2 linked regions of the Arabidopsis thaliana genome follow. The protein of the gene in region 2 purifies or fractionates together with the protein of the main gene of each other region. This does not show direct contact. Each region holds a gene or a part of one and is shown on either strand. Other genes may lie near its edges.

Evidence for each region. The genes of interacting proteins can lie anywhere in the genome.
Region 1: the proteins of AT4G09520 (region 2) and AT5G11810 fractionate together in Arabidopsis thaliana (co-fractionation; one large-scale study listed by BioGRID). This does not show direct contact.

The regions. Positions count from the first base shown.
Region 1 is NC_003076.8:3,806,714-3,811,930, forward strand, and holds AT5G11810 (rhomboid family protein), read left to right. Parts: upstream 1-1,964; 5' UTR 1,965-2,025; coding exon 2,026-2,164; intron 2,165-2,510; coding exon 2,511-2,581; intron 2,582-2,717; coding exon 2,718-2,770; intron 2,771-2,867; coding exon 2,868-3,347; intron 3,348-3,453; coding exon 3,454-3,544; intron 3,545-3,640; coding exon 3,641-3,727; 3' UTR 3,728-3,935; downstream 3,936-5,217. Other genes in the region: KEA6 (K+ efflux antiporter 6), read right to left, coding at 1-35, 124-185, 262-340, 451-512, 726-769, 1,077-1,356; AT5G11820 (Plant self-incompatibility protein S1 family), read right to left, coding at 3,936-4,478.
Region 2 is NC_003075.7:6,023,775-6,029,269, reverse strand, and holds AT4G09520 (Cofactor-independent phosphoglycerate mutase), read left to right. Parts: upstream 1-2,146; 5' UTR 2,147-2,297; intron 2,298-2,502; 5' UTR 2,503-2,518; coding exon 2,519-2,818; intron 2,819-2,891; coding exon 2,892-3,037; intron 3,038-3,114; coding exon 3,115-3,391; intron 3,392-3,475; coding exon 3,476-3,748; intron 3,749-3,817; coding exon 3,818-4,300; 3' UTR 4,301-4,466; downstream 4,467-5,495.

The DNA.
Region 1 (5,217 bases), on a different chromosome or scaffold from region 2:
CAGATACAATGACAACCACCAGGTCTGATATCAGTCTACATGCCATAAGAAGCAGAAATCAGATGACTGATTGAAAATTATAGTCTTTTTTTCAAGAATCATGTTTAAGACCAAGAATCTTGCCTCAAGTCTAGCTGCAATACTGGATACTTTGATTTGGAATTGGATATGATGAAGACATTGTCCTGACACAAGGCCAAAACTTCCATGTAAGAAGTAATGCAACAAATCCAAACTCAGTCTTCCTGTGTAAAAACTTACTTTTCGATCAATGAGAGTTGGAGTGTCCTCAGCTCTGTTATCATTGTTCAAGTTGAAAACATCATGGAGTTGAAAACGCCTATGGAAAATTAGATAACGCTTAATACGTCTTCAATTCCAGAACATCAAAGAAGGTCATACAAAGGAAGATTTAGAAATATAAACGATAACTATAATAGAATGGTGTACTTCTCCTCTTTTGTCTCATTTTTCTTGGTCGACTTTACTCGGGCTACAGTTTCCAGAACAGCCTGATCACCACAAGGTACAACAACCAACCTCACATTCAGATACTCAAACTATGCAATTAATGAGAGAAATGATCAAATCTTAAAGCAAGCCTTATACTTTCAAACAAAAGACTTGGGAGTGATTTTGACACTGCTTGAATTTCCTAGAAATTGTCCAACTTTGAATAATAAACAGAAGCAAGTATATACTAATGATTAAAAGTTAAAACAAACCTGTTGTCCAGCTACACTGTTATTGAAGCTTCCAGGATCAGCCACTGCCACAAATATAACAACATTGGGAGATAATATATCGAGTAAAAGTGTAAGAATACAAGATAAACACTCACTATCCATTTCAGGAAAACCAATCACAAAAATGTATCTTGTTTGTGTAAATATTCTCGATCTAGAAGAAGCAAACTATTCCACATTGGGAGATCCCCAAAAAGGAAAGACGAATGTGGGATCAATCTAAAGTTCCGAACTTTCAATTGGATCACGGATCCAATTCAGGATCTACCTAATGAATTCTAGTTGTTCAATGGCCATTTCAAGCTCCATAAAGTAGCAAAAAACACTAACCTTCATTCTGGTCGCTTTCATTGAACTCTTTTTCAAGAGCACGATCGATGATGTCGGCGAAGCTACCTTCCTTAGGCTTAACAAGAGAAGAAGAAGAAGAAGCGTTGAGAGATGCGACGGAAGAGGAGGAGTTGGCGACTGTTTCATCCAGTAGATCCGAATCAGATATAGCTCGAGGAGACGCGACGGAGAAGCAGAGGAAGAAGGAGAGTAAAAGTAAGAGGAGAGCTAGCTGTTGAGAGGAGAGCGAGAATCTTCTTCTTCTTCTTCCTTCCACCATGGCAGAACAACTGGTTCTGGATTAAACCGGACTGGAGCAACGGTCTAGCAGAAGAACCGGAACCGTCGCGAGTCTCTCGATCGAGGACGAGGAGTGGGCAAGTGGGGAGAGAGGGAAAGTGAGATTGTTGCAATGGTCAACAAACAGTCCATACATAGGCTCTCTACATATAACAAGACTATACTGTACAATTTACGACATATCTGTATTAAAATTAATTATCGGATTTTTTTCTTTTTAATGTTGTGTTGTTTCTTTGTAATATACAGCAACTGCACCATGTCCATGTGGTAGATTAATGAATGGAATGGGTCTTTCTTGGTTATTTGATTTTCGATTAGGACAAAACATCTTCCATTTCTATAAAACTTTAGCTCAATGTCTACGCCATACTTATTATTACTCAATGCGACTCTTTTTCATGTAATCATTTAAATCCAATAAAAATAGATTTCACTGTATTTATAATTCTGTGAAATTTGTAAACGTGTTTTTTTAGTTCATGGTCCCCAAAAATTATCCAAAAAATCGCTGTCAATTAAAAAATTAAAAACAAAAAAAAAGAAAAATTATATTATATATATATATATATATATTCCCCTCACGACAAAAAAATATATATATTCGCTTCTGTTTTTTTCTTCTCGGACAATTCGTCTTTTGACAACAATGGCGGACAAATCAAGCAGATCACTGATATTGTACGGAGACGGCTTGGCTCGATTTGTCGATCCGTCAAATACCAACATCCATTCTCTTGCTTCCGTCGCTACTTGTGGCTTCTTGAGCCTTCCTAATGCACCTCCAGGTCTCTCTTTCTCTCTCCCTCGCTATCTCTTCATAAATTTGGTTACTTTCGTTTGATTCGTCTTGAATTTCAGTCAAAATCGCTACTTTAAGGGTTTTCACTTGTTAGGATTTCTTAGTGTTGATCAGAATTGAACCATATCGTTTGGATTCGATTGTGACTTTTTTAATAGTCCAATATGAAACTCCAGTATACAATTGATCTAACTGGCCAACTTAGAGTTCTTGTTCAGTGTCAATTGACCCAATTGCTTAAGAAACAAAGATTTGAGATCACTTGTGTTACATTGCCCTTGCTTTGACATTTTGCTATTGATCTAACTCACTCTGCTGTTTCAATATTGCAGAAACTGAGAATGAAAGAATAGTTCGAGAATTCTCCCACTTGCTGGATGCATCCGAAGCTTATTCCATAGCTGTGAGATACTTTACTCTCTACTATATTAATTTCTATGTGAGCCGAGTTTTGTGGCAAAATATTTAACAATCTCAGTGTGTTTACATAGTTATTCACGAATTAGAGATTAACGAACCATGATCTGATTTCTTAATAGAGTGGACTAAAACCAAAGGGAAATGGAAATGATATCTCAACTTTGGCTGAAAGGTTATACTTTTCACTTATCTCTATAGTTTTATACTCTCTTTGATAATCAATAGCTGGTATATCCATATGTTGATGCTAGTATTTACTTTAATGCCAGGTTTATGGGACTCAAAGCTGCTTTAGTTACGGACAGTTCTACTCTGACTTCTTTCGGAAAACTGATTGGCTTAGATGTATTACAGCTTAGTGAAATATGCCAAGAGAGTGATTCCTTTCCTTCTGATGCCACATCATCTAAACTACTAAAGCTGCTTGGATTTGAAGGAGGAAAGTGCTTGGATGTGAACCTATATGACTTGGTTTTTGTTCATTTCGGGGTTGATGAATATAATAACGGGAACAACATGGGAATTCTCGACTCTTTGATTGGCAGTATTATGGGAATGGCTCAACCAGGTTCAGAGATTCTATCGCGGTTGCATCTGTCTGTCGTTCTTAGCTATGGTTCTGTCACAGACAAAGATGTTTCAGTTTTTCCAATCAAGACTCCACAAGAAGACATTAACCCGGCATTTATAGGACTTGTCCCGCGTCAGAGCTACACCATGCGAGGTGAAAAGACACGGGATGATGTTCGGTAAGAGATTCGATGAATTTTTGTCAAAACCAAAAGAATTTGATTTGAACTTTTCTGAAATCATCATTTCGTTCTTGACGGGTTTGGTCATTCTTGCAACCTACAGGCACTACTGTCCTATGTTGGTAGCTCAGTGGCAGCATGGGGTGACCCGGAAAGACTTAGTTGATACCTTATCATTTGAAGCTCTCAAAAAGGTATGGTTTCTGTTTAATGCAAGTTCTGCTATAATAAACGTCACGGCTTCTTGTCTCAAGGTTAATTTTTTTGTTGTTTCTCTCTTTTCATCATAGCTCTGTGGAAATCTTGTTATACCGGCTGATCGGTTCATCCACGAAGTTGCTTTCAAACTTTGGAAAGCCCCAAAATATGGAGCTTAAGCAAAAGTAATCATCTAGTCCGGATGAATTCATTCTCTTTCCGCTGTTGAAGTTGTTTGTGGATTGATCTCAAATTTGCTACCTTTACATAAAGGAAAGACACAAAAGCTGTTCTGTTTCTTCTAGATTATGTATCGTGTTATCCATTTCATACACACAAAAATAGAGATATAACATATATCCTGAAGTGGTCATGGAAGTGTAAAGATTATGGATCCTCTTTTACAGGGTGGTAATTAGTACCGCCGATCCAAACCATTCTCAATTCATCTCCATAGAGCCTTTGGCCTTTATTGTCTCTTTTGATCCTCCTTAGATATAGCCCGTCTCTCTTAACCACCCAAATGCACTCTTCCTCATCCGGATTATCACATTGCCACCTGAATAATCTCTCCCCGGCAAAAACCGTTGCTGTCTGACCAAATGGCGAGCCAAACGCGGTGAAGAACGTGCACTCAAAGTATGTGTAGAAAAACGGTATCTTAATAAATATTGGCTTGAACGACCAGCTTTTGGATTGGCCTGGTTTGAGAGCATGCGTGCCCAATTTGTTATTCGACGACCAACAGTTAATCGCGAGGCTACGATTCCGTCCTGGGTATATGGAGATCTCGTTTCTTACCTCGAACCGGGCTGCTGATGCGGTGTATGCAAAGCACGCTGATGCGATGAGAAGGCACCATGTGAATGCGGTGGCTAATCGGAATCTTGATCCGATCTTGAACCCAAACCCCATTGCTCTATTGAACATTTCTGTTTTGGTTTTTGAGGTTTTATACAAACGGGAGTGTTTGTTTAACAACAACAGAAAAACGGTAGTGGTTTTGGACGTTTTGTTCGTTGAGCTTTCTTTTCCCTTTTTTCGTTTTTAGTTTTAGTAAAAAGTTTAACAAATAATATTCGGTTTGGTTTCAAACAGTTTTATATTGATTGAAAAAATCTAGTAAATTGAAATTGAATGTTAAATTTGTTTTTCTTTTCTCTTTGTTATATTTACTATTTGGTTTGGATTAAAAAAAATCTCTTAGGTTCATGTGACTTTTCATAGTAGTATTGGACTAATAGTTCTTTAGTCTTTTAAGTCCTCCCTAGACCCATTTACGATACTATATCCAAAGTTCCCCATGATATTCATACCTTATATAGTATTACATTACAACTTTAATAACTACCGATGTGGGACACTGCCAAAAAAGAAGCAAACAAAAACTACCGAACGTTATATTATTACAAGAACACAACTACACAAGTAAACCTAATTCTCTGCTTTCTCTCCATCTATCGACTTCAGCTACTGAGTGCAAAATCTTTTTGGGGTCTTCTTAGTTACGTTTGCAAGGCGCGAGGCAACAACAAGTGGGTTTCTCAAAAAAAAATAGATTTTCGTTTTGATGTTATTCTTCTAGTCACATGAATAGAACATAAATTTGATCAGATAATAATAGATATAAAGACATGTCCTTAAGGAGCTTAACAGTGAAGTTACTCGT
Region 2 (5,495 bases):
TTTATCATATGTTGAATATTAGTTCAATGTGCTTTTGATTGGTAACTTTAAGACTACGTAAAACTTATAGCAGTTAGGTATTTTATATCAAGCATAAAAAAAAAAGTCAAATAAGGGACGAACTTTGAATATAGTGACACATGTTTTATCAACATTTTTTAAAAATAAGACAAGGAAGGATTTTTGTTTTACATTTACTCTAGAGGTTTCGAAATTTATGACAAATTAAAGAAGTGCAATTTGTGTTGATCCAACAAATATTGCCGAAACACATCGGCAACTGCGTCGAACTCAAAAATCACATTCGCTTTTCTACCTAGAACAACTCGAGTAGCCACATTCGTTCACAGGAAGAACTGGACAATTAAGGTTCTTACATTTTGGTTGATGACTTTCATGCCACTACTTAATAGTTATGACCTCCATGAGTAATTATTTTGGTTCCGCCATTGATTGTAAGTCCACAGAAAACTTCACTGAGTTTATGTTTACTTCTCCTCTTCCATTTAGTTGAGATCATCAATTTAGCTATACTCATATGGATTAACTTGGACTAATCAATCGGAAGCCTTTTTTTTTTAATGTAATGTCAAATTATATTTAAAAGAAAAATATATACGGTTTTACAACTTGTGCATAAGAATTTTGAAAAAAGAAATCAAAAGAATTTTGAAAATTTTAGAGAATAATTAATCGAAATTGTGCAACAAAAGGTATCTAGCTCCGAGATTGAATCCAGTGGAATAACGTTATAACGCTTGTCACCTGAAAGTCGAATAGCTGAAATCTGATTTCGAATTTGTTTATCCATCCATCCTGTGATACGCTGAGCCGGTTGTGAGGTTTCACCATGTTTCCGGCCAATCAATCGGAAGGCTTATTATGATTTATGAGGTAAAAATGTTCAAAACCTGCTTTTCTCCATTTGCTTTATAAAAATTCGAAAATTTATTTTCTTAAATTCCATTTACTGTACTTCTTACTGTTCATGTAAATAAAATATTATATGAATTAATCAATAAAATGATAAAATCATGTATTAACAGGCGAGTTTCTAATTTAATGCTCCATGAATATGTTAAATCAATCTGTTTTTATTTTTTATTTTTGTTTTTGTTGATTTTCTTCTTATTTTGTTTATATTTTTTATTATATATCAAAATATAATTGATTTGACTGACGAATATGACAATCACGCTAGATCATCCACATTAGTTAGAACCCCTCATGGGTTTCTTTAAAATTAAAAGAAAAACTATATTTATGATCTAATTATAACATTACAAGTGTTAAGAGAGATGCTTAATGAGAGATCATTGTATCTTCCCCAAAAAAAACCTCTCTCACTCTTTTCTCACAGTCACAATTCTTTTTCTTTCTTCAATAATTTAATAGAGGATACCACCTCCAATGGAAATGCTCTAATTAGAATTTTCAAAAAGTATCAAATATATTAATTAAGATTTTACATCATTCATTTTAAAAAAAATTATAGAGTAGACTTTAGCAAAAAAAAAACATATTACTCACCACCATATCATTATTTTCTTAAACCAAATTCTGGACAAACTCTATCAATTAAAATACAGCTACAACACTAACCAATTAAATAACTTAAAAAGAAAAATCAAACTAATTTATAAGACGTTGAAACATTAAACAAGTGCGAAATTCTTTTAAAAAATTGTAGGTGATGGAGACCAAACAGTAAAAACTTACACCTCAAATTTGAATTTAAAGTGTTTGTGTAAAACAGTTTTTAGTTTTACCCCCAACAAAATCAAATCAATCAACAACAAAACTAATGATGCTAAAACCTATAAGAGCATTCACAACTGTGGAACTCTCATTTTAATTATTAAAATATTATAAAATAATGAAAAGAAAGTATGGAAAGAGACAATGGGAGAGAATCGTCAAATAAAACTCTCTCTAGAGAAACTTTGAGCCATATGAGAGAACCTCTACTTTACAGATGTTAAGATTTTATTGGTAAAAACCAATTATTTTAATTAAATAATAAAATTATAATAAAAATAATATTTTTTATTCAATACATACCCATTTTTGAAAACCCACCATTGTGGATGTTCTAATGGGTTTAAATCCCTTTACCACCAAAACGACATCGTTTACTTAATGACTTTAAACTTAGCCTAAAACGACATCGTTTTACGTAATGACTTGCATCTTTCTAACTGAGCAGAAGCCGACAAACGACACACGACGTCACCACAATTCTCAACTTTGGAGCTGCAGACACAATTCCGGCGACGTTTACGATTCTGACACCGCCGGTAAGGGTTAAAATGGATTCTGATTCTGATTATTGTAGATTCGTTATCTAAAGATTCGAACTTTCTGAACATTTCATCGCAAATAGCTCATTCATAGAATTAGAGATCTCTACATTGCTTTGTAATAAGAGATCGATCGTTATGTGAATCATTGATAATTCTTAAAGTCTCAGACTTTTAATTTCCTCTTTACCAATTGGAACAGAACCCACTTGTAGCAAATGGAAGAAGTTCAAAAAAGAGTTGCCTTTATACTAATTGATGGTTTGGGAGATGTATCAATACCAAGATTAGGTTACAAAACACCATTGCAAGCAGCAGAAATACCTAACCTTGATGCAATTGCTTCAGCTGGAATCAATGGTTTAATGGATCCAGTTGAAGTTGGATTAGGTTGTGGTAGTGACACTGCTCATCTTTCTCTAATGGGTTATGATCCAAGAGTGTATTACCGTGGACGTGGCGCGTTTGAATCTATGGGTGCAGGATTAGCTATGTCACCTGGTGACATAGCTTTCAAGGTTTTTGATTTTGCTTTTACTTGTGTATTATTCTTTGTTGTTTATAGGTTTTGATCAATGTGTCATTATGCAGTCAAATTTTGCAACTTTGGATGAGGATTCTGGAGTTGTTGTTAGTAGAAGAGCTGATCGACATTTCGAAGAAGAAGGACCTATACTTTGTGCTGCTCTTGATGGAATGAAGCTTCCATCATTCCCTGAGTATGAAGTTAGAGTCAGGTTGTTAAATATGTTTCCTTTCGTCTTTATGGTTTCGGATTTCGAGTTTTTGACTAAAGGAAGTTTTTGGTTGATAGATATGCAACGGAACATAGATGTGGAGTGGTTGTAAAAGGGCCAAAACTTAGTGGGAATATATCTGGAACAGATCCATTGAAGGATAATCGTTTGCTTCTTGAAGCTAAACCTTTGGATGAATCAGAAGAAGCTAATCACACAGCCAAAGTCGTGAACGAATTATCCCGGGAGATATCGCGCATTCTTGTTTCCCACCCGGTTAATGTAAAGAGAGCTGCACAAGGCAAGAATATTGCTAATCTTGTTCTTTTAAGAGGCTGTGGTATTCGAATCGAGGTTTGTGTTCACTGTCTCTTACGAATGCTTTTAATGAATCTATTTGCTCCATCTACTTATCTGTTATGGGTTTTGTATATAAAGGTTCCTCCTTTTCACGAGAAGCATGGTTTGTGGCCGTGTATGGTAGCACCAACGAAGATTATAGCCGGACTTGGTATGTCCCTTGGTATTGATATTCTTGAAGCTCTGGGAGCCACTGGAGATTACCGGACGCTTCTCACATCGAAAGCGATTGCTATAGCGAATGCGCTTTCAGCTCCTTTGAATCCCTGCCCAAATGTCTTTGAACCAGCAGAGGACGGGCATAAACCGGGAAGGTCAGATGGTTACGATTTCGGCTTCCTTCACATTAAGGTGAAAACATGTCTCTGTCTTTTAACACAACATAAAAAATTTCATTCTGATTCTAAATTATTCGTGCAGGCTATAGATGATGCAGGTCATGACAAGGCTACATTGTTCAAAGTTCGAGGCTTGGAAGCTGTGGATAAAGCGATACGTCAGCTCGCTAAGCTTCTATGGCAAGCTGAATCTTCTTCAAATTACCAGTATTTCTTGTGTGTGACTGGTGATCATTCTACTCCAGTTGAGTATGGAGACCACAGCTTCGAGCCTGTCCCATTCACAATGTGCCGGTTAAAGGACTTTGTGAGAGCGGTTGGAGGAGAATCAGCTCTATTAGAGACATCTTTAGACCCTTTTCCACTTCCAACGGATATAGCATCCAGTGAAAATGTCATCGGAAAAGAAGAAGAAGACTGTGGGAGGAGGGAAGCTTCTCTGGCGATTAGTGGAGATTCAGTCTCAGAGTTGAACGAGATTGCAGCTGCAAGAAGATGTCTTGGCCGTTTCCATGGCGGTGAAATGATGGGAGTTATCACCAAGTTTCTGAAGTTGGATGTATAAATCAAATTTCATAAAATTTTGCATTTTTTCTTTGAAAATTTGGATTTTGGAAGTGTAATAAAAAATTATCAACTCTAACAAGCTCAGGAAGTTGAAAAAAAAATGTCTAACAATGTTTGGAGGTGTAGTTGCATGTTAAAGTTTACACTTTGGCTCTTAAGATATACACATGAAATTTCCTTTTTACATTAGCTCGACGAGAAATTAAAGATATCGAAAAAGAAGAATTTTTTTTCTCTCGTGACTCAATTGCCTACAAATTTATAAAAAATGATGGTCACTTAGTTAATGAAGACACTATCTTTACTAGATCTAAACAATCTGTAATGAAAATTACTTCACGTTAATGAAAGTCAATCATGCATTTCATTGTCCAAACGAATGCTTTTACATTTCAAGCACATAAGTCAAGATTTATCGAAGGTTGACAGCTCCCATAATTGGCGTGTCTTCATTTGATAGTGTATAAAACCATCATATTCCTGAGAAATCATCATTCCTTTCCAGGAACCATAAATGAAATATATGAACCTGTGTTTCTGTAACTATCTCCATTTGAGTTAAAGTCTACGAATTGGCTTCATTTTACTCTAATTGGAGAACCTCACTTGGGTCTTTATCCACATTTTCATAAAACTTCTCATTTCAGGCTTTCCAAATGTATTAGATATTTAGATGATCCAAAAAAACTTGAACTATGGGAGCCACATAATTCAAAGCAACTTGAAAATGTTAGTTAATTTATATTGAAGCTCTCTCATCATTCTACAAATAAAATAAAACATTAAATAAATGTGATATATATACTTATTAATTATATTGTCTACCTACCAGACTAACAAGCTTACCAGTCCACCACTGTGTTTGGTTTATATGTCGAGAAAAAACAAAAATCTATAATAAAGAAAATAAAAGTGACTGGAGACCGATAAAATAAGTATCCCAAGCGAAAAGTCCAAAACCCAAAATCAGACCAGTAATATAACTTGACCGTTTCTTAACCGGTAATTACCGGTTAACTCCGTCTCTTCCGTCGACATTTTTCCTTACCAGACCCGTTTTGTTTTTGTCTTGTTTCGGTCTCTTAACAAGTCCCGTTTTGTATTCTTCTTCCTTACTTCTTATTCTATCTATAAAACAACAACTTCACTCATCATGACTCTTTTTCCCCATTTTCTTACTCTCTTGCCCTTTC